Caenorhabditis elegans: one gene and its partners. The protein of the gene in region 1 purifies or fractionates together with the protein of each later gene. This does not show direct contact. Each region holds a gene or a part of one and is shown on either strand. Other genes may lie near its edges.

Region 1 (11,179 bases):
TTTTCAAGTGCGATCCTCCAGTACAAAAAAAGACATAACGTTTATCAGTTGCGGTGACATCACCAGATTTATCAGACATTTTCACGCTCACACGCATTTCCAATCAGTTGCTATCTTTCACCTCATTTGTTCCAACAAAACGATTGTTAAAAAATCGTCATCGGAAATGGGTCGAATCAGTAGTAGTTGGCCAATGTTCCTGCCATGACTCACTTACCATCATTTATCGTCCCTCTCTTCATGATTATAATTCGTTTCTGTGTTTCTCTAGATCTCTCAATTTGTTTCCAACTCTACCTACCGACTTGCGTGAACTTAAGCCTCGCTGAATCATTCTACAACAAAAAAAGTTCCAGTAGTACCATTGATTGAAAATTTTCTTTAGAAGTGAAAAGTATGGTTTGTGGTTTTAAAGGGTGTTGGTGTTGAGTTGAACTTTTTTATAGAACTGATAAGCTCCACAACCATGTGATTTGCAAAATATTGATTACGAGCTTGAGGGGCTGTTTCTAGCTTTTTTCCCGTTTGTAGACTTTTTTGTTGAAAATATTTAAGGAGAACTGTCACATGTAAAGATGTTACACTAATTTTTATGTCTTCTGAATACAGAAAATGAAAACGTACCTATGTAGTAGCAGTACCGCTCTATTTAAAAAAAGGTAATCTAATCGGAACGTGAGATAATATTTCTTTTTAGGTTTAGAAAACCGCCATTTTAAAGCTAAACATTGTAAAAACGGCCATGGTAATTTTTTTGGAACTGAGAAAATGTTTTATGGTACGGCTACTAACGGCTATAAGTATTTATTTAAAAAAACTATTTCAGTATCAATGCGGAAAAATAGATCCACTAAGATTATTTTTTCGTTTTTTTCTGTTTTTGTAGTGTATTGTGGCCAAAAAGAACACTTTAAAGCAAAACTCGTGAAAGAAAATGCCCTACTTTAAATGTTAGAGCAATGAAAAAAGCTCGCTTCCAATTTTTCATAACCCTTACTTGGTTTTTTATTATAACAAACAAAACATCAATCGCTAGAAATTGACATAATCAAATTTTGATTAAAAAAATAAATAATGCGTCTTATTATAAAAGTAATTGCTCGTTTTTTTTCGTCCACTAAGATGTTCAAAATAGAGTGTAGGGAGCAACTGATCTTTTTCGATAGTTTTACATAATCGTTCGATAGCCTGTCTTTCATCACAATGTTGGAAAAGATGTTTCCATGCCCTGTCATTATTGCGAAACGGGTGCCGGAGTCGCAATTTTCTCCGAGTCATTTTCTGTATAGAATGAAAAAAAGAGAGGAAGAGAAAAACACATGTCTCCCGTCTCATCTTCATTCCGGACCTCTTGCTCCACTCTTTTTTTTTATTTTCTCTCTTCCTTCTTTTAAAAATGTTTGAATTTTTCAAATTTTGTCATGTTTTGTAGTTTGAACGTCTATCAGTTTTCCCACAAAACTTTGGAATTTAATTAGATTAAAAGGGATTTTTTATCACTCAACAAAAAACTTTTAATATGTAGCGCCCAACTTCCAGGGACATCATGTCTTGCGGATAATCAAAAATGGTACTCGGCTCGTCGCAAAGTTCGGCGAAGGAGCTGACCACTCAAAGTTCCATTTTCCGCTTCTTGGTGCTCTTGCTGTGCTTCACTTCTGCAACTGGCGGGCAAATCAACGGGAAACTCCTCAACGGCAATGGTGTTTTTGTGTCCAGAGACGAGCTGCAGAACAAAAATGTGAGGTTTTTTGTGAATAGCTTTATTCAAAACTTAATTTATCTTTGATCAAAAGTCTTGACAAGTTTGACCCAAAAATTAAATGCGGTCCAAATTTAATTTTCTCAACTCTTGTCTAACTTTTGCCTAAGGTTCGCCAGTTTCTGAACTATAATGCAACAAAGCGTTGTCGCCAAACGTTGATTATTTTTTGAACCTAGTTAAAAACGCACAGTTCAAAAACCATTACTAAGATATGTAATTCAACTTAAATTCACTTAGGCATGATCAAATATCATAATAACAAACATTCCAAATGTTTTTCTGATTTTTTGAAAAATTTTCAGTGAGAGTATTGGAAAATTACCAAATTTTTCGAACAGTGTAGTATTTTTTTAAAAATTCGAGAACAGGTTCAGGTTTGAATCCATATAATGTTCTAATATAATAAGTATGATTAGATCATAAGAAAAAAAATCGTTTTGTTGGCTTTCAAATTTATTGTAGATAAGATCTGAGTCTTCACCGCTTTTTATTTCGCCACATTAAAAATAAAAAAAAAACAATGATATTTAGTCATTTAAGAAACATGTGAGTGGTTTTGAAGAATTTCAGAATTGACCTATAAAAAATAAAAGTCAACAATTGTGTTTTAAAGGTGCTGGGTGTAATCACTGGATTTGATCTACTTGTTGTCGCTACTCATTCGCGATTTCAGGTCTTTGAAAATAATGAAGAACGTGAGTAATTTTTTTTTTCACTTGTTTCCGGTTATCAAACGTCTGTCTGTTTGCAGGTAGAACAGTTGGCCATGTATCACTTGATATGCATCCACGCACCAAGTTTTTGGAATTGAAGCTCTTCTCGAAATCTGAAATATTTTACTGCGATGAGTCAAGCTGCGGGTATCTATTTTTGCTTTGTTGTAAATTTTTCAATTTCAATTTTTCAGGTTATGTACATACTCCGGTGTTACATCATCGTGCTCAACATTTATGCTGAACGGAGATGAGCCAAAAATTCAAGAGATCTTAAGTTCGAGTGCTGTGAAAATAGAGAATTTAGGGCAAATAATGTTAGCAATTTCATTTAAAAATGAGGAAGATCCAGACAACCCAAGAACAATGATTTTACGATATAATGCTCAAGACACTGGGTATTTTATAATTGTCTGAGATAATTTTAATAAGGTTGATTACAGAACTGTTATCCCAACAGCGTATCATGCCGATTCAAGTTTTATTCACAACAACCATGCCCTTACTGGTTTTGAAAGGGAAGGATTTGTATACTTCGTGATGACTGCAAGCCAAATCTTTGAGCCAGAAGTATTTTTACACGATCAGTCAAATAACAAAGTTACGGTCACAAAAGTCATTAGATTCTGCGCGACAGATCAAACTGCAGACTTGGCATCAAAAATCTCAATTTTAGTTGGTTGCGATCAAGAATGTAAAGTTTGAAATACCAAAACTAAATTTTTATTGATAAAATTTCAGTTAGAAATATAAGTTCCCGGGGTGAGACTGCTGTTTATGATCATGCAAATGATCTAATCAACATTGTGATGTTCAATCACACATCTATGGTTTGTTTTATAAAGTGATGCGTTTTTCATTGAACCTATATATTTTAAGAACCACTTAATGTGTCGCTTCAAAATGGCCAACATTGAAAAACGATTCAAAACTATTTGGAGTACCTGCCAAGAAACTTCATTTTCTGGCAGTACCGCAAAGACAACCCGTTGCAAGTACCCACAAATTTTTGATCAAATGAAGGTAAAAAAGGGCTGCTTGACGTATAGTCGATTGGACGATGAATCATCACCAACTCTTTGCGTGCGATATGGGGTAGGTGCATGTTTTCTATGCGAATTAAAACTTAAAAATTGCAGAGAGGCGATGCTCTGGACAATTGTCAGCTTCACACTGCCAAAAGTAACAGCTATCGGTACGGATGGTTGGAAGATTATAATGTTTTGCAAGGAGAGCTCATGATGAGGTATATCGCTTGTTGAAAGAAAATTTTAAAAATTGCAAAAAATTGAGTTAGCCTCATATAAAGTTTTCGACACACTGCCGCAGTTTCTTGACATGGCTAAAGAGAATAATTTTGGTTTAGAAGTTGCGACCAATTGCCGAGTTCACCACTTCTCTTGAAATATACTAAAATATTTTCAGAATTCCTTATCCTTTCTTTGGAATCGCTGAATCTTTAATAACTGATGGAAAGTCATATTTTGCCGCCGTCTCGGGAGAGTTTGATATGTCAGATGTTTTAAGGGTATGCATTTTTCACATCACGAAATTGCTTTCAAAATTGTTTTTTAGTTTTCGGCATCCGAATCTGCAGATATTCGTCCACACTGGAGAACCAACATCTCAGTTGTCGGAAAATTCTCTATCACAAAAACAAAGGAAAATCAGCTACTCTACACTACGGTCGAAGGAGTAAGTGTTTTAAGAAAATGTTTTGAACAAAAATTAAATTTTTAGCTGCAAAGTTTGGATATTTCATGCAAAGGGCTATATCCAAATTGTCAGACACTGCGTCAAGGTGGATGGGAAGATCCTTTAGAGTGTTCCTGGTGCGCTGATGACAACGCACAGCGAACCATTACTTCTTCAGAAGTCAGCAGCTGCAAAAATAATTTGAAGCACGAGTGTCCACCAAGTATGCGATGGGTGAGTTTCCGTGTATCTTCAATAAAAATTTTAAAACTGTATTTTCAGATTCACAAGTACAATAATAACTCAGGATTTACTGCAGTTGTTGATGGCTTCCGTGCATTGAAAAATCCAAAGTTAAATGCCTGCGGAACAAATTGTGTAGTTACGGTTGTTGATTCTTCTAGGTAAATAAAAAAAAATAATCGTTTGTTTCTAAAATGCGTTTTGCAGTATTCAATGTGATACGAACCCAGATGAAGTCATCGGTGATTCATGCAAACAAGTATTTTTAAGCGGTATGATTGGGGACAAGAACTACTCTTTCCCTTTTGACTATCAACAAGCTGATCGAGGGACTCAAACAGATGTGAAGAATAGTCAAGTTGACGATAAGAAGGGTAGTAGTCCTGGATGGAAGATCGCAATTGCTATTATCTCGGTGATGACGATTATTCTGATTGTCGCTATAATCGTCTACTACATGAGGAATCGATTCCCCAGAATTAAAACTCATGTCAGACCGCCAATTGGTCAACGTATTGAGAACGAGTACGATATGGGACACATGGCTGGAAGGCAGGCTCAGCTAGCAATTAACGGAGACAACTACGTTAAAGTTTTTAGGTAGGTCTATATTTTCTGGAGGATTGTCGAAATTGGCTTAAGTTTTCATTTGGTTAAAAGTGTATTTTTTCCCATACTGCGAGTATTTTTTAAAGTGTTCCCTTCCATAAGTTTCGTAAGATGATTCCAAAAAATGAGATAAAAACCTTTCGACGACATCCAATAGCCGCAGAACTTAAAAAAAAGTTATCGTAAATATTCTCCCAATACTTTTAACACACCACGATTATTATTGTTTTTCAGAAGCATGCGTCCCGATCTCAAAGTTGATTTCAAGAACCTGCGCGTTGACAAGTTGGATCCTATTGGCCAAGGTCATTATGGAGTTGTCTACAAAGCGATGTACTCACCATCCAAAAGTTTGGAGGAAAAAGTTGTTTGTAAATATCTGAAAGAAGGAAAAATTTCGGAATTTTATGAGGAAGGTAGACATTCCGTATTATTTGAAGCCTCTGAAAAAAAGCTCAAAACTTTCAGCAAGAACAATGTCTGAGTTTGACCATCCCAACATTCTCAAACTGATCGGTGTTGCACTAGATGATTCTTCCCATCTTCCAATTATAATTACCGAGTATATGGCAAAAGGCGATTTGAAGAGCTTTATCGAAAACGTGGAAAATACCATCAAAATGAGAGATTTATTCGAATTCGCATTTGACATTGCGAAAGGAATGAATTATATGCATTCGAAGAAGTTTATTCATAGAGATCTTGCATGCAGAAATTGCTTGTTTGTTCATTTTTCTTTTTTTTCAAGATATTATATTAAAATTCCAGATTGGATGAGCACCTCCGAGTCAAGATTGCTGATTTTGGTCTCTGCAGAAAAGTGGATATTGAAACGGAATTATATGTTCAAATGCACGAAAGAGACTTACCAGTGCGTTGGTTCCCGCCGGAAATATCCGAACAAGGGGTATGTCTAGGTTGCCCGGCATTTGCACAGGTGTTGTATTTCTAAACGCAAAACAAAATACGATATAACCAAACGTGTACATTAATTGTTTTTCAGTTTGGCATAACATCCGATATCTGGTCGTTTGGAGTTGTTATCTGGGAACTGTTCACACGCGGATCTACACCGTACAGCAATATGGCTAGTTGGATATTGATTCTTCCATGGTTGAAGGAATCAGAGACAAACAGGCTACGGAAACCTCCATATTGTCCCGAGAAATTGTGAGTTATCGCCTGGAAAATGTTTAAAAGTTAAAATTAGGAATTAATTTAGAGAATTTAAAGTCTCTAAAATAACTTTTATTGTATATTCTTTATTAGTACTGCAATCTCTATTAGTGCGGAACCTCTTCTTTTCATTTCAAAAGTTCTTAAAAAAGCCCCGGAAATGATTGCTGCACTAATAGAGAATATACAAGACTTTTTTACATTTTTAAAGAACAATTCTAGTGAAATAACAATTTTATGTACATTTGAAATTTTACAAAACACTATACCCAGCTTTAAATTTTTGCTGAAACCACGTACGAGAGAAGTTTTTGCAAATCCAGGACGCCCTGTTTAGAGAGCCAAAAGAGTGAAGTGTCGTTTTGCGGTTGAAATTTAACACTGATAACCGATAGATTTTCGAGTTTGTATTCATAAATTTACTTAAAATCCGGTAATTTTCAAAAACAATGTCAATATTGTTATCAGGTTTTAAGGGATATATTTATCATCTATAAAAAATGTTGGTCATAACCGTTACCCGCATTTAAAATAAACAACAATTTTCAGATACACCGACGTGATGTTGGCTTGTTGGAAAGCAAATCCTGCCGAACGGCCGCAGTTTAGCGACCTCGTGACTATCATTCCAAACGTTGTGAAGTATATGGAAGGATATGATCGCTCACAGTTACAAGCTGGTTATGAGCGAGTAAGTAGTAGGTGCTGCTTGCTTTTCTTTCGTTTCTAACATAATTGAGTTACCCATGCAACAATTTCCCTCTGACATTGATTTCCAAAAATAGGTTAAGGGTTACTGAATTAAAATTTTTTGTTTCATTTCACAAAAATGGATTATGTTTTCTGGTTAAAGTAATTGTTGAACCTGTGTTACTTTCCATGAGCTTTTTACCACAATAATATCAATAGAAAACCACAAACTTTATTTATCATTTCAGGTTTCTGAGCTTGTCACGTCACGACCCAGCATTTCCAATTTATCAGAATGAGATGCCAAACACACCTCTCCTAGCAAACTGTCAAAACGATACTAACGATTCCAAAACTCTTGCCGAGCTTCCATCCGACAGTCCTTCAACTTCAACTGCAATTCCACAGAGCACTCCTTACCAATTATTGAGTGAATGCTCAGAGACATCGGTCTAAGTCATCCAAGTTCACGAGGTAGATTTCTGTTAGTTCCGCGTTCAGTTTCAATATTCATGTAAACTTTTCTTCCACGACTTTGTAATTGCGCACCACCTTTCGTCCCATTCATTTTCAATATGAAAATCAATCAAAAGTTATTTTTTGCAATCAATCCGATTCTGTCCCGAGTTACTGGTACTTTCTTTGTGATTTGTATCCTTATGAATACTTCTTTTTGCATTTGTATTTTCCATCTTCCGTCTTATTGCTCCAGCGGTTCTAGTTGACAATTTGTTTGCGGGTTTGATACACATATACTTTTCTTTTTTCATCCTGTTCTCCTTTTCTATGTACTTTTTTCACATGGAAGTAAATCAATCAAATTGAAATGAGCATATTTTACAGATAGAATAAAATAAAAATAAAAAAAAACAAATGATGACATGAAATAAATAAATGGCATAAGTTAAGTGGCAATAGGGAAGAATACACTTAATTTTTTTGCTGGTGAGGTTGAATTCTGTTGATTTCTTCTCGAATTCGAGGTATCACATCCGGTGAAAATTTATGAATAGTTGGAGCAACGGCATCTGCAATTAGTTGTACTATAGAACTTTTTCAAAAACAATTTAAAGACTTTTAAGGCATCAACAGTGGAGAATCTCCATACAGAAAATAAAATAAATTAATGCAGCTTTGCTAAATCAGTTAACACTTTATATCATCGTCAGTACAAAAATTGATCTGAAGTCCTTTTTAAAATCTTTAAAAGTTGAAAACATTGTATAATTTGGTACATTTTCAGACCATTAAAGAATGAGCTTATGGGAAAATGAATAACAGTAATTTCTACGATGCTAACATGAAGTGCAGTGATGCCGGTTTTTTCGGCACCTACGTCGAAACCCTAATGAAATTTTTTGTCTAGAAAATATAGTTTGTAACAGTGATGCATATCACGTTTAATTTTAAATGCCAAATGGTTTTTTTTAGTTTTAGCCTAAAATGCAAAAACCAATATTCTAAATTTCAGCAATTATCTTACTCCCTCAAAAACTTCAGTATTGCTCCTGAAATCTTTATACATTCATGAACTCATTAATTGGTGTCACAACAAACCTATGATAGTCCGCCATGGGTCATTGTGTGCCATTTCCTTCTTTGTTTCTGCGAATGCACTTAATGCTGCAGAGAAGTAGTTGTTTGCCTGGTTTCCGAGTTCCGTGAAATTCAACGAGTTTGATTTCAATTGGCTGAGAATTGGGCTCACAGCTTCTAGTGGCGAACTGATCAATGGCGTTGGTGTAGCGAATTCAATTTCCGGTGGTATATGTGATGGTGTCTTTAGATACCATGGGGAGACGAACTAAAAAACAAATTGAAATGAATAAAGCAAATAAAAAACAAAACATACAACTCCTGGTGCCTTTGTTGGTTCCTGCTTAACTTCGTCATCATGCCAATTTATTTCAACTCTGAATGGTTGTGTAGAAGTCTGCTCAGCAGGTAACTTGAAATTAAATGCAACTGGAGGGGAGGATATTACTGTTTCCGTAGGTTTAACTGGTGCTAAAGCACTTGTTAAAGTAGACACCTGCAAAAAGATAACTTTTTTTTTTTGAAATTTTCACTGAAATAAGGGCACTAACCTGAACAGCGTCTACTTTATAGTTCCATGGAACGTACGTATGTTTGTCAACGACGGGAATAATTGTTCTGGTCGTTCTGATGATATCGTTTTTCAATGTATTTGGGTTTTTTGTGGTATACGGGTTTGGCAAAAACTTGTGCACAACTTTTGGCTTTTGAGTGGACGTTGGTTGGTTCATTGGAGCGCCACGTTCATCAACAATCACAGTTTTTATAACAGGTCCATTCGATTGAGAAGTTGTTGGCCGTGGTTTGAATTTAGAGTTTGGATCAGTTCTTCTCATGATTGGAAGACTAGTCCTCGTGACAACTCCGTCGATTACTGAAGGAAGTGCGGGAGGATGAACGGTTACATAAGTTGTGGAAGAAGTCGTTTGTGCCACCAGAGACTCAATAGGTAACCCTTTTTTCAATTCCGATTCCGGTTTTTTTCTTAGATCATATTGGCATTGCATTGGATATTCTTTGTTAGTTAAAACCTTTAATTTTTTTCTTTGTGGGAGGTTGTTAAGTTTAGACGGTACCTGTTGCATCTGTGCAAAAAATTGAGCAGCTTCTGCGGTACATTTCTTACCAATGTTGATATAAGTGCAAGTTGACACTTCCGAAAGTTCGATTTTGCTCACGCAGTCTGGTCGGGTACACATTTCTCTGAAAAGTGTGTTTTGTGACTTACAATAATCAAGTAATGTTTATTTTCTATTATTGCGGCATGTAGTACTCGTTTCCGGAATTTCCTCGACTACTAATTTTCGAGTGCTTAATTTAAAATGGAGAATATGACCATTCGCTTACAAAAAAGTAATATCTTAAATAGAAAATCATAAAAATTGTGAAATATCGTTACAGAAAACACGTTTAATTAACAACGTTATTAATTTAGTGCAAAACTATGAAAAAGGCTCATGAAAATATCTTTAAATTGTTGAAACTATAAGGATGCTTCTCGTAAAAAACAGGGGTGCAGTACTAATAGAGACTGAAGTACTACTGGAGTCTACGATACTAATTTTTAGAAGGCCTTGAAGGGTGCAGTATTAGTAAATATGCCTTACTACTGAAAAAGAAAAAGTACCTATATATACTTACCTGCATGATTGCAGCTTATCCGCAAAAACCGTATCATTTCTGTTACAAACCGATGATTGCGGTTCTGCTAGCACATCCTGAATGCATTTGCTTCTTCTCAAGAAGATCTTCTGTCGTTGTAGAGAAAATGGAGCACATAAATATGAATGTAACCTTTTTCCGCGCTCTAGTTGGGTTTTTTCAGAGGGTTTACCGCACTGTACCATTTTTTGATCAAAACACGGGAGGATGCGACTATAGGTTCTAAAACATGATTAGTTTTAGTTTGGTACTGGTTCTCCTAAATTTCAAACCTGCAAGTATGCATTAGCTTTGCTTCTGTCGTAATATTGAAAATAACTTCAATGGGATTCATATTGAAGTCAACCTAAATATGAATTTTAAAATTTTATTCCCAAGAATACATACCTTCTGAGCGCTAAGTTGCATTACACACGGCAAGAAATCCTTTAGTTGACAGCATAATGAAGCTATAAATGTAATCTTAAGAAATTGCTGTAGTAAACACCTCACCTGTGTATAAAATGCTGAAAAAAAATAATAACCTCATCAGTGGACTTCTGCTTATTAAAATGACTTCTTACACCCGCAATGAAACACGCCTGTAAATCTGCAAAATAAAATCATTGGAACATTGAAAGAAATTAAGCTATAAATGCCAACATCAAAGTACAAATGAAGTGCAAGCCGAATTGGAATGCGGTATGCACAAGTGTGGAATTATTTGGAAATGAATAGAATGACTCAGATTACACACGTGCGTGCAACCGTAAAACGACGGCATACCATCAACTACCGCGTGCTTCTCACATTGCTCGGCCCACCAAATAAAGGCAGACTTGAGAGGTGTTGAGCGGCTGGTCGCTTAGACAGTCGGGGTGGTGTCAATCTCAGCGTCTCGTCTGGCTACTTTCCATCGCGTTCGGTTTTGGCCCTACCTTTTTCTAGTTCCTACCGTAATGTCAATATTGTGTGGCAACGGGTGAGCAAGGAAATGCAGAAACCGGGAAAGAGGCGGTAGATCGACGGAAAGTGAGTATTAGGGTGTTGAATTGATTGCGTGCTCATGGCGCAGACGATACCTTGGTTTTTGATCGGACGCAAAATGGAG
Region 2 (8,502 bases), on another chromosome or scaffold:
CTCCCATCAATTTCTAACCAATTCTGTAGAATTCTCCATTTTCAATTAAAAAATTATAGTCGTCACTTTTTTTTCTGTGACGACGTATTGTATACTATTTACAAAGAAAAAGCTTATACGTCAAAGTATTTCGTCGAATAAAGGTTTTATAGAGCTGATTATAAACTGGAAATTATTCTTTCTCTACGAATTAATCAATAAACGTATTCAGAAGAGGTTTTTCGCAAGTGTGAAACGCTATGTTCAAAAACTGCAGATTTTACCATACTTGCGCTTTTTTATAATTCCGAGATTAATTTTTGGAAAAAATAGCAAAATTTAAGCAGTTTATGTTTAAAAAAGTTCGTTTTTAAATACGCTCAAATAAAAAAAGTAAGTTTTAATTTTAAGTTTCAAAGGGTTGAGTCTCGCCGCGAGAATTGAGTTCTTGAAAAATAATTGGTGCATGCGCCTTTAAGTTTACTGATTACATTGCAAGTCTGCATTTGCGCGTCGAGTTGTGTGTTTTTACGTACATTCGAAATAGTTATATTTATTTATTGCGCAATTGCATTAATGTTTTTCTATACCGAATTTTCATTGCTTTCTTGCAAAATACATGTATTTTCTTAAGAAATTTGTGAATATTTTAAATTATACATAATTGTTTGACCTTTCAGGAAAAATGATTGAAATCACAGTAAACGATCGACTCGGAAAAAAAGTACGAATCAAGTGCAATCCATCAGATACAATTGGAGATTTGAAGAAGTTGATCGCTGCACAAACTGGAACACGGTGAGATTTGAAAATTACCTTTTTGAATTTGATAATCTTTTTGAAATTGACTGATGATCCCACAATCTTTTTTTCTGAATTCTTAAACTTGAAAATCAATTATATTGAAAAAAAAAGAATTTAGCTTTTTTATAGACTTTAGAAGTTAGAAGTTAAAACGTTTGAAAGGAAAAAAAGAACTTAAAAACTAAAAAAAATCAAAAATGGCACAAAAAGTCGTTATTAAAATGATCTCGAGCTAGGAAATCGCGTTTTAAAATACAATTTTTCTGTGTTTTGCCATCTCATGCGGCTATTCGCATATGTTATTTTCGTATGTTTTATATATTAGAAACAAATTGAAAATTTGAAAAACGGCAATTTGCCGATTTGCCCAAAGTTTTCCAAGATATTTTACATGAGAAAAAACATTAATAACATTTTCATAGATTTTACTTGCATGTCAAAATAGTTCTAGGACATTAAAATAGTGCATTTAATTTTGCAGAATTTATAATAAAAATTTAAAAATTTACAACAATTGCAAAACGAAAAATTTCCGACTTTGCAAAAAAAAACTTGCCTCCCAGCCCTGTGTTTTATTAAATAATTGATTTTTTTGTAATTTGATCATAAATTTCGACCGCCATTCTTGGTGATGAAATATACATTTTTTATTGTTTAATAAAAAAAAATCAATTAAATTTCAGATGGGAAAAGATCGTGTTGAAAAAGTGGTACACCATTTACAAGGATCATATCACATTGATGGATTACGAGATTCACGAGGGATTCAATTTCGAGCTCTACTACCAATGATTCATCAGAATTCATTTCATTTTTTAAACAATTATTTACTTTTCAACTTTTCATGAATTTCAATTTAATTTTTTTTGACTTCGAATAAATTTCAACACTTTCTTGATTTAAATGCACTTTTAAAAACATCTTATATTCATTCTTCCACCCCATTAATTTCTGCCGTCTTGTTTGACCACTCCCTCTTTCTTCGCTCCCACCCGAGTAGGCTCCGCCCATTTGTTCGACCCAAAAGATTTTGTCCGATTTTTTCTCTTTTTCTCTCTAATTCTCTTCGCCTATCAATGTGTTTGCGCGAAACAGTTTAGTGTGGATAGAGAAAAATCAGTGGATAGTTAATTTTTGCAGATGTTTTTTTTTTGAATTTTCAAAAATATTACTTCTAAAAGACATTTCAGACCAAGGGCAATGGCTGCTGCAGCTCTGTGCTGTGCTTCAAGGGTACGTTTTTAAATTGAAAAGTTTGAATCCCGAAAGCTTAAAATGAAATATTTATAGAATACAAAAATAAAACAACTTTTGAAAATTAATAAAAAAATATCTCAAAAGTTAAAAAAAAAGTTTCTCTAAATAGAAATATTCAAACATATGGTATCAATAAGCAGTCGTATTGACCTCGTTTCACAATAAAAATCTGGATTATCCGTTCGTTTTTTTGGTCACCACAGCTTTTGAATTAAATAGCTATTTTTTAAAGTTTTGTTTAAAATAAAAACTTTAATTGAAAATTCAGAAATAATCTCAATTGTATAACTGTATTCTATTTCCAGTTTATAAAACCTAATAAAAACCAATGTTAATCACTTTTGAAAACATTTCCTTTTAGTTCTTTTCTCTCTCTTGTCATTCCCTTGTATTTACTTCAACAGTAGTAAAATAAGAAGGACATAAGCTCTCTTCGGAGGGCTCATCATCTTTTCTTTTCCATTTTCTTTTTTATTTATCTATGTGTCCCTTCGGAGCGCGTAAAAACAGTACGGGCGGCCCGTTTACCTTTTCTCTGCGTCTCTTCGTCTCCAGTACTATTTCGTTTTGGATGGCTTCCAAATAGTGGACACCCTACCTCCCAACGGAAGAGGCTTGAAACAATCGTGAGGTTCTGAGCACATTCCAAGCAAAATAGTGGAGAAGTGAGATAGAGAATGGAAAAAGAACAACTTTTTTTTTTTCAGAAATCGACTATTTTCAGAAACTCATGAGACGTAGGGCAAAATTGCGTGCGCCTTAAAGAAGTACAGTAACCCATCATGCGATTTTCATGGATTTTCTTTAGTCTTGTAAATCCCAACTTCATAGTATTCCAGCAAACAATCCTTTTTCGAATAAGTGTTTCAAAGAAAAACCCGAAGATCCGAATGGGTTACTGTACTTTTAGAAATATTTGGACCGTTCCGAGTCCGGAACACAAATTTTCATTATAACGTGCTCCATGTATTTTTTATAAATATTTGAAGTACTTTAAGAAACAAGAGGCGCAGGTTTTCTATTAGAAAAAGAAGAAAATTGTTAATTAGTTAGTGCGGCGTCGATTGTAATACCGGAAATTAGACGAATTAGAAGGAAATAGGAAATGCTTCTTTTTTGATTGATTTCTATCAATTCTGATTGCTTCTGAAACATTTTTGATTGGCAAACTTTAAAGTTCATTGAACATGAAACATAGCTCTAATGATAAAATTTCCAAAATTATTTGAATTAGAAAACTGTATGAACCCTGTAAATCATGGCTTTTCTGATAATCAAATTTAGAAAAAAAACATGAATTTGCAGGTTCAATTAAATTTTGCACACAATCTATGAAAACACTGATCTGAAGCTGTCCCGATTTTGGTATAATACTTTCTTCAAATATTGAAACATCTATTTTAACAGTGTGGGTTCTACCACGATCAGAGTAATTCCAAATCTGTAAAACTAAGCAACTTTGTTTCAATCCAGCAAAATGCCACACCCATTTTCCGATATAATCAGGTGTTCGAATGAATGTTTCCTCGTTAAAACGGGCGGTACACAGCTAAGAAAGGTAGATCATTTTATATTGAATATATAATATCAAAACGGACAAGAAAAGGTAGCCGACACGCTTTTTTGTGTGGCTATGTGTCGCCAAACAACCAAAAGTGATAGTTTTTGGTTTTTTTTGGTCGTTTTCTGCGATTCATATATGAATTGATGTATAAATGTACATTTGATTGGAAAACGGAATTGGAATTTATTTAAAAAATGAACAGAAATTGGTATGAAAGAAAAGATTTAAAAGGGTAAAAGGAAATATGAATGTTAATTTGGTTTTTGAGTAATTTTTTAACTAGTTAAATAAGTTTGTGATCAGGAAAGTTTATCTGTTTTTAATAATTTTTTAGTTGGAAAAATCTTGCATTAAGCTACTCCATTGTGGCACTTTGGATAAATTTATTATATGAGAGTAGACACGTAACTTCAGGAAAAAATGAGGCACATAGATTTCAAATTTATTTTTGACAATAAATGAATTTATTTTGGTTTTCATCGAACAAATTAAATTTTTTCTACGATTAAAAAACAGTTTTTGAGAACAAATTTTAGATTTCTAGAGACACTGAAAATCTTCAAGTTAATTTTATTATCAATGTTGTAGTACCATGAGCAGAAATATAGACTAAATACACTTCCAACTTGATTATATATTCTAAAAAATCGTTCAAAAATCTTTTGGCATTTTGAAATTTTCAGTCAATGTTTTAGAAAAATGCCGAATGTTCCAAAAATATGGATTTTTTGAGTGAATACGAGCATTCCTCCAAGTTTGAAAAAAAGCTGAACCACCGTGAAATTCAATTTGGATGATTTCCAAAATTATCATAGGAGAAATCGTTTTCCTCACTTTTTGAGTGTCTAGGAATTCTACTGCTCCCGCAAACCTACTAAATAGAACAAAACTTAATTTTTCAGAAATCCAACAAATACAACAATGAAGCTGGCTACGAGGTGTACACAATTAGCGAGGACCAACTTCGTCTTGTAGGTCAAATTACATACATTTTGTTTCTTTCCCTTACAAACCACAACTAGCACAGAATAAATCATCTTGTCACCTTTTCTTTGTCACCTTGTCACCTTTCTTTACGCAATTCTCCCTCTCACTTGCTTGATATCAAAAACAGGATTTAGGTAACCTTCATGTCGACTTTATCACTTTTTATCTTCCTCCAACCGAATTTTTTCAACTTTTCGTATCCAATAATTCAGTATTACCTTCTTTTTACAAAAACAATTTAAAATTTCTATATTATCAAAATACTATAAAAAGAAAATTTCTTAAAAGCCGAATTGCTGTATAAAAGGAAAAAAAGTAGAATACAACTAAAAAATAAATAAATCAATGTGAAACAAGAGAATATGAGCTCATAAATTAGGATTTGGTTTCCTTTTTTTTTCGTTTTGCTCACTTTCTTCCATTTTTTTTTTGCTAAAAGTATTCCCAAAAGAGGATGAAGCCGTTCCGAACATAAGTTGTCCATTTCCGTTCACCGAAATTTTTTTGGTTTTTTGTTGGGGTCGCCCGTCGACAGAATCCTTTTTTCTGTTTGACGGGACCCACTAATTCAATTTTCTGATAGATTTTTCATTGCCCATTTCTGTCTTTCTTCCCAACTTCTTTAACCGAAAGCGTCTTGATTTACGTTCTCATTCCTACTCACGAGTTTAAATATAATATTAATTCAGGATTAATGTTTAAAAAATCAATTATTGGCATTTTAGATAGTTCTAAATGTGTGTCCAACTTTTGAAAAAATACCAAATTTTCAAAAAAATTCATTTTTTGAGTACACTTAGACATTGCTACAAGCACCTATAGTGTTCAAACACAAACATATATAGTTTTTTATAACAGTTAATTTAAATATAAAAATTGTAGAAAAAATGTTGTTTTGTGAACTTGCAAAATGAAAGGTAATTATGAAAGGTAATTGCCATTTTTATGACAGTAAATTAAACAATTGCAATTTTATTGTTATTTTTGGATTTTTTCCAATCTTTTGAGCTATATTTGTACCAATATTACTGGGACATAATAAGAGTGACAACCACAAATGATTAGCCACTTCTAAAGTTTTCATAGGTCAAGAGTATGGCAAATATCTCAAGTTTTCAAATTTCTTAGAAACTAATTTCCAAAACCTTATTGAGCGTATAAAAATCAATAGAATTATTTAGTTCTTTTGCACTGAATAAAATTTGAATTTGAGACAATTTAAAAGAAGTTATGTGTGAGAGTGAAAAAAAGAAAGAAGAGACGAGGAAGAATCAAAAGACAAATGTGTCAAATTTTGGGTTTGCTTTTTTCTTTTCTTTTTTTTTTGGTTGAAAAATTGAGACGAGTATCTTTTATTCTTTTTCAACTCACCCAACTTATCTCAAATTTTGTTTTGAATTGCAAAAATTTGAATTTCAGAAACAAAAAATGAAGGATCGAAAAGAAGGTGTACAGGTGGAATATATAACTTCTCGGCTTATTGGTAATAGTTTTTAGTTGAACTATGATAATTATTTGAGACTTTGCAGTTTTATCATGTACATCAGAGACCAGCGAACGGAAATTTGTGGAATCATTGCTCAAGGCGTCACAACAAATTCAAAATGCTCATAATAAACATATCAGAGTGAGTTTTTAATTTTTTTAATTTAAAAGAGTAAAACAGATAGTCTGTCAAGAAAAGTCTTTCTGTTTTGGAATTCATACAAAAACTATGTCCCAACAAAGAATTTGACAGTGAGGCAATTTGAACTGGAAAAAATCGATCTGAAAAATCTTCCATTGTATTTTTTAATCAAATTATATTCATCAAAACATTGAAAATTGTTTTAAGGTAATCCAAAAGTCCAGGAATCAAGTCCAATATTCGAAAAAAACATATAAAAGGATGTTTTGACTGAAAATTTTCAGATAATTTTTAAAAACATAAAAATGGTCAAAAAATTAACTACTGACAGTATCCGAAAATCCACTTAATCCACTTAACATCTACGAGCCTTGAATGCTGTGAAAAACAGAAAAAAAAAGTAATATTGGATATTTTCCAGTTCAAAGGTCCCCTCGGCCGCTAAATTCTCTGTAGAAAAAGGTATTCTTCCAAAAGAAAAATATTCCGTTTAGAAGTTCAAAAGTGAGCTGAAACATCTCCCCTTTGCTATTTTTTCTGTGAAATTTAGAACAGTATTTTTAGTTTTATTATAAATTTTTCATTAATAGATTTTACACTTTATCAGAAAAATGTTGGCTTGAATAATTGAAATAATCGGAAAAATTGAAATTTTTCAAAAAGATTTGAATGATCAGGTATGGAATGTATCTCAACGTCGCCATGACATCAGTTCTTCTCTCGATGCAATTCCATTTGGTTGGCCATCAGAAACTGCTCCATCACTTGAAAAATTATGCACAATTTGTAAAAATTTGGATCAATGGATGCTTGAACATCCTCTTAATATTGCTGTTATCTTTTGTAAAGGAGGTCTTGAAAGATGTGCAATTGTTGTTAATGCTTTTATGAGATTCAATGCTATTTCTGCAACGTGGGTTTTTTCTCACTTTCGAATGTAAAAATTATTCAAACAGTAAATTTTCAGAGACGATTCAGTTGATGATCGATTCAGTATGCAGAGGTTTTCTGAAAGATTCCTAGGACCCGATGGACCACCCAGTTACAAAAGGTCAGTTAAGTTTTCAAGTTATTATAAATTTAATGTTTTCAGATACCTCGGTTATTTCTCATCACTGTTATCTGGTCGAATATCTGTCAACTCAGATCCTTTATACCTTCACAATATAATTTTGACATTTTTCGAGCCAATCAACGTCTTTCTCAAGATATACGAGCGACTTGTGCCAGTTTATCAGTCAAAAACTGTGTAAGTACTTATTTTTGGAAATTTCCTTAAATAACAGGTATTTTCCATAGTAGAACTTGAAGATTTTAATTTCTGAAAATATAATTTTTAAAAATAAATTTTCAAGGCATAGAACATATTAATTTATATTATTTAGAGCTCTAAACAAATCTTCAAAATTCGAAATGGATGGAAGTCTGAAACTTCGTGGCGATATTTTCTTCAAGTGTATTGTAGCAGCTTCATCGTAAGTTTTGCAAAAATATGATCTAGGGTAATTTGAGCAGAAGTAACCAATTACTAAGTCAGATATATCCAAAAGTTCAGTTTGTATCTCACGATACTTGAACCACTTCTGGCAACTTTTGTAAGAACGGAAATTTTGCGAAAATTTAAAATTCTGAAGTTTCTCGAAAATTGGTTGAATGTTTGGAACAAAAAGGGAGTTACAAATTATAGTGTCTTCTTCTTTTCTCTTCTTTCCTTTTTGTGCTCAGGGTGTTTATGCTCTCGGAAATCACTTTGTCTTCTCCTTTTTTCTGGACATTTTTCCTTTTGCTTCTCACACATATATAGACAAACACAAACCCATAAGCCACTTTTGAAAAGTAAACAGAGAAATAGAGAAAGGAGCATCTTCTTCTTCTTGCTTTTTTTTTCATTTTTCTTATTTCCTTTTTTATTTTTCTGTTTGCACGATCGTTTAGTCCGTAATCTACTTATCAAATTAAAATTTGGGACCGATGGTTTTAGGAAAAAACACTTTTGCAGATACTTTTTTCCAGAGTTCATTGTATCACTTCCTGTTTGAAATCAGTAATTCAGTTTCCAAATAGTTTCTGTGCCATGGTACAATAATTACCTATTTTTATAATTTTCAAATTTAATAAAAAATAAATGTTTCAAATATCTAGCTTAGAAATAATTGCCTGAAAATAATATTTATTCAACTACTTTTTTTAAAATTGCTTCACTTTTTTTATTGAACTTTAAAAAAATATTTAGAGTTCGCGATTGTCCTTTAAATTTGTTTTTTCCTCTAGTGAATAGTTTCCA
Region 3 (10,186 bases), on another chromosome or scaffold:
CCTATTTTGTTCAGTATTTTCTAATAGTTTTGACAATTCTGAACAGGTTTATAAAAGAAAAAAGAATCGCTTCATATGATTTTTCCGTCATTCTGGAATTTTTAAAAAATCAGCTTTTCATTACTTTTATAAATTTTTAAATAATACTTTCGTACATGCTAGCCTTATTCGCCTAGGATTTTCTCATAATAATGCTAATTCTGAACTACTTTATAAAAGAAAAAAGAATCGCTTCATATGATTTTTCCGTCATTCTGGAATTTTTTAAAAATCAGTTTTTTTAATCAATTTTTTAAAAATACTTCCGGTCAAGCTAACCTACTTTGTTTAGTATTTTCTGATCATTATTCCAATTCTAAACTATTTTATGAAAGAAAAACGAATCGCTTCATATGATTTTTCAGTCATTTTGGAATTTTGAAAAAATCATCTTTTTATTATTTTTATCAATTTGTAAAAATTACTTCCGGTTAAGCTAACCTACTTTGTTTAGTATTTTCTGGTAGTTTTGACAATTCTAAAGAGGTTTATAAAAGAAAAAAGAATCGCTTCATATGATTTTTCCGTCATTCTGGAATTTTGAAAATATCAGCTTTTCATTATTTTTATCAATTTTTTAAAAATATTTCCGGTCAAGCTAAGCTATTTTGTTTAGTATTTTCTGGTAGTTTTGACAATTCTAAATAGGTTTAAAAAAGAAAAAAAAAGCATTTCATATGATTTTTCCGTCATTCTGGAATTTTGAAAATATCAGCTTTTCATTACTTTTATAAATTTTTAAAAAATACTTCCGTACATGCTAGCCTAATTGGCCTAGGATTTTCTCATAATAATGCAAATCCTGAACAGGTTTATAAAAGAAAAAATAATCGCTTCATATGATCTTTCCGTCATTTGGGAAGTTTGCTAAAATCCAAAAAAAAAACTCCATTTTCATTTATTGATTTTCCGAAAAAAAATCGTTCAAATATTTCGTATCATGCTTCAAATGTTTATTTTTGATTACACAATCGCAAGCTCAAATATATAAAAAATCTACGTAATAAAGTAACTGTTCAATTTTCAGAGAATGTATACAACACGTTGCAGCTACTGTTGGCGTGACTGCGGCTCGAGAAATCAATCCAGTTGTTAGTAGGGTGAGTTTTTTTTTGTGAATTAAAAAAACAAAAGAAAATAAAATAAAAAACTTGCCATTTTCTGGGCATGGCTAATGGTAAAAATTTACAAAACATTTTCTCATTAATTTGATATTAAGTGTTACCAAAAATGCATGACCAGCTTTGCAAAATGTTAAAAAAAAAGGACCCGTGAAATGTCGGCCGCGCTACGATATCTTCAAGAATTATTTCAAATTAACAAGCTGTCCAAATTAATGACTAAAAAATTATAGCAACCGACATCTCACAGGTTGTTAGAGAAAGGTTACATGGTGCATCGACCGGAAATATCTGACTCAACTTTGACTACTTATATCTCTGCTGGTTTTGGTTTTTTTTTGAAAAAGTGTCAATTGACAAAATATTTATCGTTTTTTCTACTACAACTTTGCATTTTAACACTTTTTGATAGCAGCAGACTTAGGCTTAGGCTTGACTTAGGCTTAGGCTCAGGCTCATGCTTAGTTTTAGGCTAAGGCTTAGTTTTAGGCTTAGGCTTAGGCCTACTCTTAGGCCTAGTTTTAGGCCCAAAGGATAACCTCCCGGAAATACCGAAAAATCCAAAAAAAAAGTTCTAACCAACCTCTTCAGTCTCCTCAACTTCCACTTCCTGGGGTTTTAAAAATTGCGAAAAAACAATTAAATCCCAAAATTGTTTATTCACATTTTTCACAACAAATGCGCCTTTCTGATTACACTGAGGACATTTTTTATCTCTAATTTTCTCACGACAACTGTCACATAACGTATGACCGCATGTGCCGATGCAAGGGATTCGGATGGCGTTGTCTGTAAAAACATCCATTTTTGGAGCGTGTCCTATATTTTGTAAGTAGAGATTTTTGAAAACTGACAGGATTGTCGCATGTTTCGACCCCTACAATTTTTCAATACAAATAATTAAAACAAAATTGAAGTATAAAAAATGTAGGAAAACAAATTTTTTTTTTGGTCGACTTCCAAAATTATGAGTGGCAAAAACTGAGTGGTTGTCACTTTTTGACAGTAAATAAAAAAGTTTCTAAAAACTTTTGAAAAGTTTTATTATGATATTCGGTACTTTTCGGATTAAAGGAGTGGATCTTAACAATCTTCCCACTGGCGCTACTTCACCTCTAATGATTTAAAAATGAGTTTTTTGTAAAATTTGAAAAATCATTAAAATAATTTTTTTAAAACATAATTTTCAGTAATTACACCCAACTCTCTAAATTTCCAAAAAAAATGAAAACTTTCAGAAAAATTTCCAACAATATTCACCATATTCCTCATAGCAAATTCCACACTCTGCAACTTTACTCATTAAAAAAAAAACAACTAAATGTATTTATTGAAGAGAATTTCAAAAAGTCAAATTCATCATTTATATATTATATACTAATGTAAGGTGAGAAATTGTCTAAGGAACCATAGGAATGTTTCCTTCCTCATCGCAATTTCTCATTTCATGAGTTTACTACTTTCCTGCAAAAAGATAACATGTATCTTAGGAACTAATTTTTATTTCAATTTATTTATTCGAATCGCAGAAATTTCCGGCAATTTTGGCTATTGCCGATATTACAGAAACTAAATTTGCAAAAGTTATCAGTTATCGGTAATTCTAAGCCTAAGCTTAAACCTAAAACTAAGCCTAAGCTTAAGCCTAATCCTGAGCCTAAGCCTAAACCTAGTAAATAATTTTACCTCTAGTTTCACTATGTATCATTTCAATTCAATAACATGCAAAAAAGTAAATGGACAAACTCCACTAAATTCAGAAAACCTTTGCTTCTGGTAAATACTCTTTAGGCAGCAGGTGATTTTAATTGTCTATAGGTGTTATAACTCCACAATAAATTCTTTTAACAAGTTATTATATATTTTTATTTCCAGCTCCCACTATGAATGTTGACTTTAAAGACCCTGTATGGCTAATCAATAGTTACAATTTTGTTGGTATTTTTTCTATATCAATAAATACGGCGACTATTTTTTTTGATTATTTTCAAAAGCGAGAAGATGGAGAGTATGAAGTATCATATTCTGGCGTTTCAGGTGATCTCCTTTAAATGTGGAGTATCGAAATCTGGAAAATATTTTTAATTGACTCCAAATTTTCCGCTGATTCCGAATCTCGATGTGAAAAAAATCAAAAATTCAAAAAAATCTGATAGATTTGGATTCTAGATTTTTTAAAAATATTATAGATGAGTTTTTGGGACAGGAAAGTAAATTTAAGCCGCGCTAGAGAGGTTTTTGTGTCGAGTTCCAATTTTCACAGGTATATGTAGGCGCAAAAAAACAAAAATAAAAATTATGGAATTCCGGAAGAATTGAAGTAAATTTAAGCCGCGCTAGAGAGGTTTTTGTGTCGAGTTCCAATTTTCACAGGTATATGTAGGCGCAAAAAAACAAAAATAAAAATTATGGAATTCCGGAAGAATTGAAGTAAATTTAAGCCGCGCTAGAGAGGTTTTTGTGTCGAGTTCCAATTTTCACAGGTATATGTAGGCGCAAAAAAACAAAAATAAAAATTATGGAATTCCAGAAGAATTGAACTCATCCCACCCCTCCCACTCCCACTCCCCAGTCGAAGCAGTTACCGACTGATCCAGGGAGGATGAGGGAAGCCTAGCTCCTCGGTGTGTGTGACTTTTCCGACCTAGATTTACAAATTAAAATCAAAACGGTTCACGGAAAAAAGTAATGACTGTTGAAAAACTGCTTATTTTATTGCATTTGTTCAATTTATTAAATTTTCCAATTTCCCGGTTGCCAAAAAATCAATAAAATTCAATTTTCAGAAAACCAATAAAATTATATTTCTCATCAAAATTCAAATTTCTATGACGTCGCCAGAATTAAATTTCTAGGTCACCGGTGACGTCTTCAGGCATAGTTTAAGTTTTCTAGGCCACCAGTGGCGTCATTTATTTCCCCAGGTATAATTTGAAACTTCTAGGCCACCGGTCACATCATTAATTTGTCTTCCACGGTCAAAATATTTCTCTTCCAGAACTAAAATAAGATTTCTAGTCCACCAATGACGTCATATCTTCTCCAAAAAAGCTATCAAGGTTTCCTAGACCATTAGTGACGTAATAAGTAGGCAATGATATTTCTAGGCCACGGCCCCCCCCCCCCCCCTCTGATCAAAAAACAAAGTTATGAGTCAACTTAACTTATTAGAATGCTGACTCACCCAGTCAACACCAATCTAATCTTTCCCTGTCTCCTCCCTACCACTGCCTGCGCCTCTCCGTCTCGCGCGCTCTCTCTCCCACTCCGCTCACCGCCTGCGTCTCCGTTTCTCTCCCGGTCATTCCTCATTCACTCAATCTTGCAAAATTTCGGTTGTAACGAATTTCGAGTTAGATTTTTTCTAAAAATAATCAAAAATTCCGTCGAAAAATCAACTTGCGGCGATGCTCAACGTGGAGCCCTCATTTGCAGAGGAGCTGCGGAGCAGCGGGGTTTCTCTGTCGGCTACTGTGAGTTTTTTATTAGTTTTTTCCCCGAAAATATAAAATTGTCTTTCAGTACCTCGGAAGTGTTCCAGTAGTCGAGTCAATTAACGTGATGGTTTCCGAGATGAGAGTTCAAGTTGTTTCGTTAGTTTTTCTTATGGCTTAAAATCAAAAAAAAATCTTATTCAAAAATTTAGAAATCAGGCGGTAGGCAGGCATGAAGGCAGGTAACATCTGCAAGCTCAAATATATAAAAAATCTACGTAATAAAGTAACTGTTCAATTTTCAGAGAATGTATACAACACGTTGCAGCTACTGTTGGCGTGACTGCGGCTCGAGAAATCAATCCAGTTGTTAGTAGGGTGAGTTTTTTTTTGTGAATTAAAAAAACAAAAGAAAATAAAATAAAAAACTTGCCATTTTCTGGGCATGGCTAATGGTAAAAATTTACAAAACATTTTCTCATTAATTTGATATTAAGTGTTACCAAAAATGCATGACCAGCTTTGCAAAATGTTTAAAAAAAAGGACCCGTGAAATGTCGGCCGCGCTACGATATCATCAAGAATTATTTCAAATTAACAAGCTGTCCAAATTAATGACTAAAAAATTATAGCAACCGACATCTCACAGGTTATTAGAGAAAGGTTACATGGTGCATCGACTGGAAATATCTGACTCAACTTTGACTACTTATATCTCTGCTGGTTTTGGTTTTTTTTTGAAAAAGTGTCAATTGACAAAATATTTATCGTTTTTTCTACTACAACTTTGCATTTTAACACTTTTTGATAGCAGCGAAATAAACTGAGATAATTACATGGTGCATCGACATGCTCAAATTTTGATAGCTTATATATCCAGTAAAATTCAGCCAAAAGCCTGCCACTATAGAATGTACTAAAGCAACCGACATCTTACAGGTCGATCAAAAATCGCGCTAAATGATGTCAGCCGCTATTCATAGAAAAGTTATTATCACTAATTTCGACTAAAATTATTGCAGCCGACACTTCACGGGTCGATGAAAAAGCCCAGGTAAACCATCCTTATTTTCAGGTAATCGGTGAAGTGAAAAAAGAAAACTTCCCCGTAGACATCAACATTTCCTCGAAAATGATCAAAATCATAAAACAAAGTCGTCTAATTCAACGTCATCCCTTCTCATTCTTCTCATTCGGAGCCCAAGGCCAAAAGGGTACGGACACGGAGCTAATGTTCGGCTACATTGCAAAAAACAAGGATGGAACGGATCGTCGATGCCACGTGGTGTTCATCGAGGATGTGCACAAGCTCATCGACGTCCTTACCACTGCGATCAATGTGAACACTTTTGATGCACAGGCGAATGCTTCAACTTCTAACGATGGATTTACGGTGCCGGCGCCGCCGATGAGACATCGAAGTTCCCTGCATCGACAGTCATTTGTGTCGAATTGCCGAGCACCTACTGTAACTGAGGATGTTGTGGGGAAAGTTTGGTATCATGGAAATTTATCCAGAGAGGATGCACAGGCTTTGTTGAAGACGGAAGGCGATTTTTTGGTTCGGTAAGGTTTTTTAGATTTTTTATAGAAAAAAGCTAGAATTTTGCTGAATTTCTAAAACGTTTGGCTTCATGCTCACTAGGTTCACACCAGGGGCGCGTGGGAATCGGAAATTTTCGGCAATTGCCAAAATTCCAACTGAATGCCGACATTTTCGGCAATTTTCAAACCTAATTATAATTCGAAAATTGAAAAAAAAGTTAACTGTGTTTTCAGTATTCGATTAGTCATTTTTAAAAGCAAACGGTCAATACTTAAAAAATTAAAAAATGTTTAGGCTCCTAAATCTACAAAAAAATATCAAATCTATATTTTCGGCAATTCGGGCAAAATTTGATTTTCGAAGAAAAAGGCTAATGTTTTAATAATTGGCAATTTTTTGGTAAAACCTGAGATAAGTAAAATATGAGCTATGATAGCTGATCAATGCATCATGTCTTCCATGTAACTTTTTCCAATCATATCTCGGTTTATATCGCTGCTAGCAAAAAGTGTTCATCTGCAAAGTTGTAGAAGAAAAAAGGATAAATATTTTGTCAATTAACAATTTTTCAATAAAACCACAACCAGCCGAGATATAACCTGCCAAAGTTTTGTGAGATATTTCTTGTCGATGCACCATGTTTCTCATGTAACTTTTTCCAATCATATCTCAGTTTATATCGCTGCTAGCAAAAAGTGTTGAACTGCAAAGTTGTAGTAGAAAAAAGGATAAACATTTTGTTAATTAACAATTTTTTAATAAAACCACAACCAGCCGAGATATAACCTGCCAAAGTTTTGTGAGATATTTCTTGTCGATGCACCATGTTTCTCATGTAACTTTTTCCGCTAATATCTCGGTTAATATCGCTGCTAGCAAAAAGTGTTCAACTGCAAACTTTTAGTAGAAAAAGTGATAAATATTTCGTCAATTGAAATTTTTTAAATAAAACCAAAACCAGCCGAGATATAAACTGCCAAAGTTGCGTGAGCCGGTCAATGCACCTTTCTTTAACAACCTGCGAGATGTCGGTCGCTATAATTTTTTACTAATAGTAAATCGGATAGCTTTTTAATATAAGCCTATTTTAACAGACTTCGTAGAAAAATCTGAAAGTCTAAAAAAATCAAATTTGACTGAAAAAATAGTATGAAAAATCCTTTTTTTATATATTTCTGACTTAAAGCTTCAGTCACATTTCATATCTGTAATTTGTTTGATAATATGTTCAGAAGCCACGGGACTTTAAATAATTCTTGAAAGACCAGGGAAAAATTTGGTATAATAAGTTCATCCTCCCAAAATTTTTTTAGATTTTTGTTTTAGGCTGAAATTTTTGTTCAAAAAAAATTCTGCGTTTTTTTTCCTGAAATACAAAAGATGCAAGGTTTGCATGATGCTAAGATTGTCTGAAGCAGCGGACACCTCACAGTCCCCCTTCTCTAAAAAAAGACCCGCAAGCTGTCGGCCGCTCAAACTTGTCCAGTTCCTTGCAGACAAAGCGACCACACGCCCGGCAAGTACGTGCTGAGTGGCCGAACCGCTGAAAACGAGCACAAACATCTCATCCTACTGGACAATCACAACGTAAGACCCTCCCCCCCCCCCCCCGCCAAACCTTCAAACCTCTCAAAATTCCAGAGAGTCCGAACCCGCGATCGCACGTTCAGCAACATCTCCGAGCTCATCGACTATCATGTGAACAATGGGATGGCCGTAAGATCAGAGGGTCGGGATCGCGAGACGTCGTTGAATCTGATCCGACCTGTGCCGTGCCCCGGAAGTGATGATATCGAATAGAGTCGGAATTTGTTTCCTATTTTTTTTTCGATTTCTAGCAGAAATTGAAAGTCGAGTAGCAAATTGCGTAAGACTTTTTCCTCTTCTCGTCGCCCCCCCCCCCTCTTTCATATAATTAGGTAGTTGTCCTTCTACCGTAACATGTCATTACTATCCTCTTTCTTTCCTTCTTTTTTTTGCGATTCTCCTCCTCGGCCACGCTCCAATTATACCCCCCACCCACCTGTATTCTTACGCCACCACCCCAACCAGCGCACACATCTTTTTGTATTCATTTTTCCATATATATTTGTATTATTACTACTATTACCCTCACTACTGTTATCGATTTTTCCCTCCACAAATTTATGATTCTGCACTGGATCATTTGGTCGGTGGTTGTGGTGCTGCCACCGCTGATTCGATCGGTGGCCATTGTGGACACTTCTATTGCGTGTGATAAGGTAGGGATGGCCTAGAAAAGTCACCTAGTCCAACACTCCCACCCCGTATCTATGTTTCTGCCATCTTGTGATATTTGCTCCATACCATATACCCTGCCCATTTCTGTCCTACTTTCATATCCTGAAAAAATGAAGTATTTGAGAATCGAGTTTTGAAAATATTAGTGGTGGCCTAGAAATTTTAGGCTTGGGTTTAGGCTTAGGCTTAGGCTTAGGCTTAGGTTCAAGCTTAGGCGTAGGCTTAGGATTGGGCTTAATCATGGGTTTAGGCTTAGGCTTAGGCTTTGGCTTAAGCCGAGACTTAGGTTTGGCGTCAGTGGCGAGCGTTAGCTTGCTACTGACGCTATTTAGGCTTAGGATTTTCCGGTTTTTTTTAGGCTTAGGCTTAGGCTTGAGCTTAGGCTTAGGCTTAGGCTTTGGTTTGGGCTTAGGCGTAGGCTTAGGCTGAACCTTAGGCTTAAGCTTAGACATTGGATTAGGCTCAGGCTTAGGCTTTTTGGAAGATGTGTGGAGCCAATAAAAAGTTGCATGGAAAAAATATGACGTCACAAATGACCTAAAATGTTTCATTGTTTTTGGCAAAAACACAATAGTTTAGAAATTTGGCTGCAAGAAGTTCCTCGGCCTAGAAACTCTCTTAAACTCTCGAAAAAGCGAATTTGAAGGGCATTTAATGGAAGATTAAAAACCCAGGCCAAAACCTTGAAGGTCACCACCCAAAAGGAAAAAAACGTCTTCAATATTGCAGACAGATTTCCTATTGAAAATCAAGTTTGACGAAAACTTCCGTGGCACGATACAAAGTCGCGCGGGCCATCCAAAGTGTATCTATGCAAATGGCACGCTTCAATCGGACACCAAATATCAGTTGAAGGTTTGCCTATTGAATGTATTGAATTTTTGGGCATTATTTGCTTAGATTCCGCTGACTGGCTGCTCGACCAAGGAGAACGGAGAAGGCAATTTGGAGAATGAGATCGAAGTTGTCATGGCTAACAATGAGTGGGTTTTTTTTTGCCATGTGGTACTAGGTTTTTTGCCGCTATGCTCACAAGGAAAGTATTTCCGCTCAGTTTTAAAGGTGGAGTAGCGCCAGTGGGGAAATTATGAAAAACCATTCATTTGGTCCCAAAGTGACCGAATATCATAATAAAACTTTTTTTTTTTGTAAATGTTTTATTTACTGTCAAAAAGTGGCAATTACTCAGGTAGTTTTGGATCATAATAAGTGTATTTAGACAAAATCCCCCACTGGCGCTACTCAAAATTTAAACTTGAAAATTAAATTTTTGAATTTTGAAAAAAGAGCTTTCAAATAGGTACCTACAAAAAATTCAGCGACATACGAGCACTTTAAACTAGAAAAATCTCGCTCTGAAGTTGCTGCCAGTGAATTTTTACTACCAAATTTGGAGGCTAGTTTAGAGATTTTTGAAAAATTTCATGATTTTTAGGCTATTTCAATATATACAAGTATTCTGAAAGCAGTTTGGAAATTTTCTGATTTCTCCTAATTTCTAATTTTTCTAATTTCTCAAATTTCTCCTAAAATCTGCAACTTTTTTCACCCAACAATTTTCATCGATCAGGATATTTTTTGGAATTTTTTTTTCAAAAAAAAAAAAACATTTTGCAAAAAGATTCCAGAATATTTGCCAACCTCGAAATACCCTAAAAATCATGGGGTTCTGGCGCGCCATGGCCTTCCTCATTGAGATTCTCGCGCTCCATTGGCAATCGCCCGTCGGGCAACGCGTGGGAAAGTCGTGTACTCCACACGGCCAACTACATTTAGTTTTACAA

What was found.
Region 2: the proteins of svh-2 (region 1) and tns-1 purify together in Caenorhabditis elegans (affinity purification with western blotting, with the first as the bait; one study listed by BioGRID). This does not show direct contact.
Region 3: the proteins of svh-2 (region 1) and shc-1 purify together in Caenorhabditis elegans (affinity purification with western blotting, with the first as the bait; one study listed by BioGRID). This does not show direct contact.

What each region holds. Positions count from the first base shown.
Region 1 is NC_003284.9:6,551,749-6,562,927, forward strand, and holds svh-2 (Tyrosine-protein kinase receptor svh-2), read left to right. Parts: upstream 1-1,539; 5' UTR 1,540-1,567; coding exon 1,568-1,741; intron 1,742-2,378; coding exon 2,379-2,460; intron 2,461-2,516; coding exon 2,517-2,625; intron 2,626-2,672; coding exon 2,673-2,876; intron 2,877-2,921; coding exon 2,922-3,172; intron 3,173-3,219; coding exon 3,220-3,308; intron 3,309-3,357; coding exon 3,358-3,573; intron 3,574-3,617; coding exon 3,618-3,724; intron 3,725-3,903; coding exon 3,904-4,006; intron 4,007-4,053; coding exon 4,054-4,173; intron 4,174-4,218; coding exon 4,219-4,407; intron 4,408-4,455; coding exon 4,456-4,577; intron 4,578-4,623; coding exon 4,624-5,016; intron 5,017-5,259; coding exon 5,260-5,441; intron 5,442-5,493; coding exon 5,494-5,746; intron 5,747-5,793; coding exon 5,794-5,932; intron 5,933-6,028; coding exon 6,029-6,195; intron 6,196-6,750; coding exon 6,751-6,903; intron 6,904-7,139; coding exon 7,140-7,347; 3' UTR 7,348-7,717; and 1 more. Other genes in the region: Protein aaim-1, read right to left, coding at 7,822-7,919, 8,449-8,695, 8,744-8,923, 8,979-9,458, 9,504-9,630, 10,069-10,311, 10,362-10,435, 10,477-10,538 and 1 more. UniProt on the Caenorhabditis elegans protein: Receptor tyrosine kinase which may phosphorylate mlk-1, a component of the mlk-1, mek-1 and kgb-1 pathway. Involved in axon regeneration after injury by promoting the generation of productive and stable growth cones.
Region 2 is NC_003279.8:5,600,999-5,609,500, reverse strand, and holds the start of tns-1 (Tensin homolog), read left to right. Parts: upstream 1-1,971; 5' UTR 1,972-1,983; coding exon 1,984-2,016; intron 2,017-4,506; coding exon 4,507-4,575; intron 4,576-6,010; coding exon 6,011-6,074; intron 6,075-6,120; coding exon 6,121-6,218; intron 6,219-6,895; coding exon 6,896-7,131; intron 7,132-7,185; coding exon 7,186-7,269; intron 7,270-7,311; coding exon 7,312-7,467; intron 7,468-7,603; coding exon 7,604-7,693; intron 7,694-8,502. Other genes in the region: ubl-5 (Ubiquitin-like protein 5), read left to right, coding at 665-777, 1,467-1,575. UniProt on the Caenorhabditis elegans protein: Probable phosphatase which regulates axon regeneration after injury by linking the svh-2 and integrin signaling pathways.
Region 3 is NC_003279.8:967,434-977,619, reverse strand, and holds shc-1 (SHC-transforming protein homolog 1), read left to right. Parts: upstream 1-4,486; 5' UTR 4,487-4,567; coding exon 4,568-4,633; intron 4,634-4,682; coding exon 4,683-4,753; exon of another isoform or gene 4,754-4,899; coding exon 4,900-4,972; intron 4,973-5,533; exon of another isoform or gene 5,534-5,669; coding exon 5,670-6,160; intron 6,161-7,636; coding exon 7,637-7,727; intron 7,728-7,781; coding exon 7,782-7,940; 3' UTR 7,941-8,287; coding exon of another isoform or gene 8,288-8,383; 3' UTR 8,384-8,532; downstream 8,533-10,186. Other genes in the region: cutl-20 (ZP domain-containing protein), read left to right, coding at 8,288-8,383, 9,132-9,257, 9,303-9,385. UniProt on the Caenorhabditis elegans protein: Scaffold protein which plays an important role in the activation of the JNK pathway composed of mlk-1, mek-1 and kgb-1; by bringing together mek-1 and mlk-1, promotes mlk-1-mediated phosphorylation and activation of mek-1 which in turn phosphorylates kgb-1.